Bombyx mori: one gene and its partner. The protein of the gene in region 1 binds, or shares a complex with, the protein of each later gene. Links are inferred from orthologs where the notes say so. Each region holds a gene or a part of one and is shown on either strand. Other genes may lie near its edges.

Region 1 (3,760 bases):
AAACAGAAAGTATTATTGAAGAAGACATATTTTCTATTAAAAGTTCATAACTTTAGTCCAAAAGTAATAAAATATATACCGCGCCCAAGCCGTACACATCCTCATAAATTTTATTAACAACCGCTCTAAAAGCGTCAGAGAGACATAAATACTTACTAAACTTAAATTAGGTAGATTTGCAAGATAGTAAATAAAACGCTTCAGAAACTAAATCCAAATGTAAATAATTTCCTTATTTTAAATGACTTATGCCAAAGTTCTCGAATATTTTAACTTGGCATGTGCAGGCAAGCTCACAGTTACTTGAAGACAATGGATCGATAATAAATGCCGTATTTTACATGAAAGGAGCCTACCTTGAACGTATGTAAACAAATGTAGCGACAGCCACAAGAATATCCAGTTTCTCACGCCGTAAGCTACGATCCCTGTCCGAAACATGGTTCAAACCAATAGAAGACCACTGCACTAGAGGTTTTAATTCATAACTATCACATTTTCACATAAAATCAAAAATATTTATGTTAAAGTTCACAGATAACGAATTCGGAGCGATACTACGCGATCCGCCATTTTCATGTCCACTTACGTTCGGAAACAATTCGATATTGAAAGGGCATTGCCCGGGACGAAACGGAGCGCCCTGAAGTTAGTACACTTCGTTGATTTCTGTCAAACGAGAAATGGAATTGGCAATGGAAATTCTGACATACAATATGAAATTCGAAATCGCTAGGAGACAAAACATTTAAAAAATAAATATAATCCGTGCCAACCAAAAATACGTATAATCCTTTTATCATTCGTTACATACAATTGGTACTTCCACAAATAAATATATAAATTCAGATCCAAGCAATAATAAAACGTTATTGTCATTTTGACACATTTTAAAAACTGACGTGATAGGTATCAACAAATAAAGTTTTTGCAATCTTATTAACTTCAAATTTCCAACCTGCTTTACATGCGTATTTTAATAAACATTAAACATTTCGTTCACAAATCGCTAACCGCAGTCCGCGGTAGTTTGTAATGGAGCTAATATACTCTATGAGACGCAAGCCACTTAAATGTGAACCTCCGCACTTCGAAAAGTAAATAGTTTAAATTTATATCAAAAGTTTATATTTCTATCCAAATTTACTAAAGTTTACAAATTCTTCTTCTTCTTGCTTCGGTTTCCTCAATACTGAGGGTCGTGACCATCTCCTCGCAACAAGAGTTTACAAATTAAGATATCTTTAACGGCAGTAACATCAACTTATTTTTTAAGTTACCGTTGTTCATGATGCCTTCCATCATAAGAAAACACTAAAAGGATAAAAATAACAAATTAAGGAGAAAAGTAATAGGAGACTGCTCAGCTCATGGATGTATATTATAAAAAGAGCTGACTTTAGAACTTATCACATCTACATAAAATTCAAGTATTTTAAAATAGTCCCATGCGTTCTGTGTTCTGTTTGTAAAACATTATTTCTGTTTCTTGGTGTTACATAAACTCAATGCTTAATAATGTTGTCTATTTCTAGTGTAAAAGACTCTGAAGTAGTCCGACCAATATGTACAATATCATGTGCAAATATCATAGCATTCTCATCACCGACAGAGCTTAGTGATGTGGACGGAGCAACATGGGGAGGTCATGTGTATGTATGTGACTTAGATACCCCATGGAACAGTCACAAAGTTACAAGTACAGCTTATCCTGTAAGTGTGAAATAGTAAAAGTATAATGAAACTATGTGATACAGATCAGTTATTCAAAAGTGGTATAATTTTACAACCAAATGAGCTCTTTATGTATTAACACTATTAATGAGTTTCCATATCAAATAGTAGACTAGAACCCTATGTGGCCAGGTTTTGTTCGCATAAGTGAACAGACCAGCTCACTCACCAAGAGTTAAACAATTACGGGAGATGATAAACAGTGTCAGATGATCGTCATTGCCTACCATCATTATGTTGGAGAAATATTCAGTGAGACTCTTTAAACCTTACACACATCTACATTAATGCTATCAAATGTCAATCTGTTCATATTATCAATATTTTAGGATCTACAGTAATTGATTTCACTGTGGTTATGATATGATTTACTCATGATTTACAGATATGATTTACTCATATTTGTAACTTCTTCATAACTTAGTATTTGTGATGATATATGCTTCTTACTTATAATTGATATCCACATCAACAATTTCAATTATTTAACAAAATGATCTAAAAACTAGTTTATAGCAGTGATTCTCAAACCCTGTGCTGCCAAAATTTTGAAGTTTGCTGTCAAATTTTATACTCAAATGATGACCATACTATTTTATACGGTCTATAGGTTCGGAAAAATACATTAAGCTATCTAAAAGTTTGTATGGAAATACTCTTACAACTTTGTTTCTTTATGCAACTATGTTCTAATAAAATAATGGATACAAATTCCAGGTGTCAGCTCTAGAGTGGGACCTGGAAGGCAAACAGTTGTTAGTAGCCACTACAGTGGGTGATGTGTCTGTCTATGGACAGAAAGACTTCCTCCTCAATGATTGGACATGTCTTTACAGTGCTAACTTCCCTGGTAAGATAAAAATTTAACTACCTAAGTACAAAACTAGTTATTTTAGTAAAATTGTTTATCTTAAAGCATTACGACTACTGCCACTTCTCTGATGTTGTCGTACACTAAATGCATTGCTATTTTAAAATCTTTAATGTAATTTTGAGTCAACTTTTTTAATTGATTTATGCATAGGGGTTGTTTGTGGTACCTAAGAACATATAAGATCAGATGGCTCTCTAAGTGCAAACTTAATTCAGCCCTTATTTAAACGCTTAGATAGTCAACATTTTCATATTCTGGTACCATCGCCCTGTCTGTTCTATCATGAGACATAATGTGGCTCCAATTGATGTTTGGGATAGCTGTCACTGCAACATGACTCTGGTCCCATGTCTCATGATGAGTGGTGGCTTTTAAAAATATTTCTTTGAATAGATCTTAATAAGTTATAAACATGTAATAAAGATTCTTTTCAAGGCCATATCAATAAAGATGTTTTCTTGTTTTTTATTTTTCATTTTTGTCAATAAATGACAAAATATTTCAGGAGAACACATAATCCAAGGGGCCTTTTTCCACAATGGACGTCGTGTGGTGGCCGTGGATAAAAAATCAGATGCGGTTATCCCTGAAAAAATACAAATGCTTCGGTTCTCTCCTACTCTCAAGGGATTCGGGTGAGTGTATCGGGAGCTTGTGCAATCTCTCAGTAGGTGCAAAACAGACTGCAGAGCTACTTATTGTTTCTGACAATTAATCTAATTATAAAGATAAAGAAACCTTTATTAACAATCTTAATGCATATTTAGGTACATACTATTAATGTAATTTGTCGTGATCGTGACATTTCTTCTTCCACGTAGAACCTGCAATGGCCTTTATGTTGTCTACCCACCTTTAGAACGGTAGTTCTTTTAACCAATCAGTTTCTAATTTAGCCCATTTTTTCTGTTTTGCTTCTTATTAGATTTATCCAATTATCCAAGACTAGCTTTTGACCGCGACATCGTCCGCGTGAAATAGTTCACAAATAATGGTTTATTTTAGAACAAATTTGGTTAGCATAAAAAACATTATGGTGAGCCAACCTTCACATATAGGCATATGCTGTCCCGGACTTTTTTTTAGGTCTTTTAAAGGGGAACAATTCTGTCATACATTATTTTAGCGAAACTTTAACTGTTTCCGCAGCGC
Region 2 (3,760 bases), on another chromosome or scaffold:
GGAATGTCTAGTTGAATAATCTTTAAATCATCTTGTACAGCTTTTGATAAGATCATTCTTATGGTAGAATGTCTAGCAACGGGTGCATAAACGCTGTCAAAAATATCTTTTTTCTTTTGTTGGAAGCCTCTAGCTACCAGTCTTGCCTTTTTTGTTCCATCTTCTTTTAGTTTAAATATCCATTTTGTATCAATGAGCTTTCTTCCATCGGTTATTTCTTGTTCTTCCCACGTTTCTAGTCTTTGGAGTGCATCTAGTTCTTTATTGATTGCGTTTTTCCATTCTGGTTCTTTTATAGCTTCTTCGAAAGTTTCTGGTGCATTTGCACTCAGACATATAACAATATTAGTTTCATTTATGTTTTCTATATTCGTCTCGTAATCTTTAAGATAAGCAGGAGGATTTATCGTTCTTTTGGGTCTGATTATTGCTTCTTCAATTTGATCAGTGTTCATTTCTGCATCTTTAAATTCATCTTCCTGTTCTACAATATCTTGCTTTTCTTTATTGATTTCTTCTTCTTTGTCTTGAATATATCTAACTTGTTTCACTTCTTCTTTGTTTTTGAATTTAATGTCGCTTTCATCAAATCTTACATCTCTGGAAATAACTATTTTATCTTCTTCTGGATCCCATAATCTGTAACCAACAGTTCCATAACCTACCATTCTTGTTTCTTTTGCTCTCTTGGCAAACTTGTCCGGTTTGGGTACTATAGTAGCCCAAGCTTTGGAACCAAATACTCTCAATCTCGATATGTCGTTTTTACCAAAAAATATTCCGCTGGGTGTCTTGAAGCTTATGGCCCATGATGGCGATCTGTTTAATTGGTAAACTGCACATTGTATTGCTTCGCACCACAGATGTTTTGGCAAATTGGTTTCCGCTAATAGAGTCCTCGTTTTGTCGCATAATGTGCGGTTCATTCGTTCTGATATGCCATTAAGTTGTGGCGTGTACGGTAATGTGTATTCTAAACTAATACCTCTATTTATGCAAAAAAGTTTCAAACTGTTAGCAGTGTACTCTCCACCATTATCGCATCTAATTCTTTTAACTTTATTCCCCGTTTCGTTTTCAATTCTTAATACATAGTTCATCAGTCGTTCTGTTGCTTCAGATTTGCTCTTCAGGGGATACACTACGCAAAAATGAGAGAAATCGTCAATAATTTTCATAAAATATTTTTCACCATTAGGTCCTTGATGTCTGATCGGTCCTGCTATGTCTGTGTGAAGCATCTCGGCTGTCATTTTTGTTCTAGGCTTTGGGATAGGCGTGAACGGGCTTCGGGTGGCTTTGCCCTCCATACAAGGACTGCAAATTCTATTAGATACAGGTAAGTTTAGTATATTAAGGCTTTTCCTATTTAAGTGACCTAAACGTTTGTGCCATAGATCTGTCGCATCAGTAATATTACAGACTTCGGACTTACATAATTCGGCTTGTAGCTTATACAACTTTCCTTGCACGATGCCGCGTAAAAATGTCTTTTTATTAAATATTTTAACATTGTATTTATTAAAGTTTATGTTAAAACCTGCCTCGACAATCTTTTTTACTGATAATAAATTGTATGAAACATCTTTCACAATTAGAGCATCAATATTAATCGTAGTATTTTGATATTTTACTTTAAGTTTACCTCTTTTACTAGTTGTAATACATTGGCCGTTAGCTACGAATATTTTGACATGTTTATCTAAATACGTAATATCCGTCATATAATTTTCATATTTTTCATTTATTAAATGCTCCGTACATCCTGAGTCTATAATTAGTTCTATGTTACCACATTCACCCACATTAGCAATAATATCGCTAGCAATGAAACCTATTTCTTTATTTTCTGTGCCTGCTGCTGAAGCATGTTGATACGTTGTATGTCGTGAACTTGAATTTCCTCTAAATGAGCGTCCACACGATCTTGGATAGCTCCGTCCTCGTGTCAATGACTGTCCTCTACTCGGCGCTTGTCCTCGTCCTGATCGGCATTCGAATGATTTGTGTCCACGTTTTCCGCAGGAGTGGCACGTGATGAAGGCATTATTCTCATAACCTTCACTATTTCTGTCCATTTTTAACTTTGTCTCCATATCGAGTAGTCTTGCTTTAACAAATTCTATGTTCAGTTGTTTCTCGGAACCCATAGTCTCAATTGATGTAATTAATTGATCGTATATCTTTGGTAAAGAAGACAGCAGATAGCAAATTTGGTCTTCTACTTCGACGCTTACGTTGATTGCCGCTAATTCGCTAAGAATTCCTTCAAATTTTAGGAAAAATTGCTGTAAGTTGCTTTCATCATCATAGCACATTGTTATGAGTTTCCGTTTTAAATAAAATTTATTACAGACTGTTTTTCGTTCAAATATGGCCTCCAATGACGTTAGCATTTCTTTTGTCGTATTCGCATTTTTTACGATGTAAATATATTTGTCGCTCAGACATTGTACCAAAATTGATTTTGCTCGTGAGTCATCCTGATCCGTCGGTTTCTCTTTTAAGAATACATTGCTTAATTACTTTTCTTCCAGCAGTAATTTCAATCTAAATTTCCAATGACTAAAATTTGAATTTTCAGTCAAAATCGGCAGAAGAGACCTCGCAGTTGTCATCTTTCTTTTTTATAATTTTCGCCGATATTATTTCTAGTGGATCGCAACCCAATATATTTTTATTTACTTACTGCACACGCGGTCTGCTACCATGTTAAGATTTTATATGAAAGAATAAGCAGACTCTTTTTATTATCATCAGTTATATTTTATTCACACGACACAATCTTATTAAGTAGAGAATGTATCCATGGTAGCGAGTCAACATTACTAGTGCGGCGACACGCAGCTAGTGCTATATCTCAACATGTAAGATAAGGACTCAGTCGATACTGTTAGTAGTTTCTCGGGTTCTTTTAAAATTATCTTTGAATTCTCACCAAATTCTAACTATTTTAACTAGAGATTCTTTTATTTCATCTCATCCAAAAACTATGGTGTTGTCTGTTATCATTGCCTTTAATCTTGTCCCATTAGGTACTAATATTATAAAGAGGAAAGATTTGTTTGTTTGTTTGTTTCGAATAGACTCCGAAACTACTGGACCAATTTGAAAAATTCTTTTTCCATTAGAAGCCGACATTGTCCCTGATGAACATAGGCTAATTTTTTTTAATTTTTTTTATTTTATTTTTTTGGTTTCATGTGTGTTTTAATGTTTCCGAAGCGAAGCGAGGGCGGGTCGCTAGTTAGGTATAATTTCTAATAGATAATGTAGATTTTCCCACCGTCTAGTATCCGAACTTCTTAAAAACAGTCTGTCAAGTGTATTGGGATCCAAGCGGTTCCGCTCATCACTTGCGTTATTGCAGGCAATTGAAGCGCTCTCACAAGGTAAAGATGATGCCTCAATACTCATATACATCATGGCTCTGTTAGCACATCCCACTTCTCCTGGATGAGCCTTTGCTCGCCCACATGTCCTGGTGAAACTGGAAAGGCCTCTGGCCCACCAGTGATCCCTCATTCATAAAAGAAAAACATGGCTATTGAGTGGACGTAGTGTTAGATGGTTTTTTTTCTTCTTTTCTTGCCAGTGAAGTATGTGGTCATACTTCAGGTACACAACTGCCTGCAAATAAATAGTGTTCAATTTCTTCGTCTAAGCCTTCATTTCTCAGTGCAATAAATGTAAAAAGTTGCTTTTTCATCAGCAATTTATGAAAATCCCAAATTACTTCTTCCGTATCAGTTCGATTCCG

The links.
Region 2: mediator of RNA polymerase II transcription subunit 16 (region 1) and mediator of RNA polymerase II transcription subunit 20 share a complex: the UniProt entries of both Drosophila melanogaster proteins name them as parts of the mediator complex. The link is inferred for Bombyx mori from reciprocal best matches to the Drosophila melanogaster genes MED16 and MED20.

The regions. Positions count from the first base shown.
Region 1 is NC_085108.1:235,832-239,591, forward strand, and holds the start of mediator of RNA polymerase II transcription subunit 16, read left to right. Parts: upstream 1-879; 5' UTR 880-1,035; coding exon 1,036-1,097; intron 1,098-1,535; coding exon 1,536-1,713; intron 1,714-2,451; coding exon 2,452-2,584; intron 2,585-3,113; coding exon 3,114-3,243; intron 3,244-3,760. Other genes in the region: neogenin, read right to left, coding at 357-441. UniProt on the Drosophila melanogaster protein: Component of the Mediator complex, a coactivator involved in the regulated transcription of nearly all RNA polymerase II-dependent genes.
Region 2 is NC_085134.1:1,812,850-1,816,609, reverse strand, and holds the start of mediator of RNA polymerase II transcription subunit 20, read left to right. Parts: upstream 1-1,169; 5' UTR 1,170-1,205; coding exon 1,206-1,339; intron 1,340-3,760. UniProt on the Drosophila melanogaster protein: Component of the Mediator complex, a coactivator involved in the regulated transcription of nearly all RNA polymerase II-dependent genes.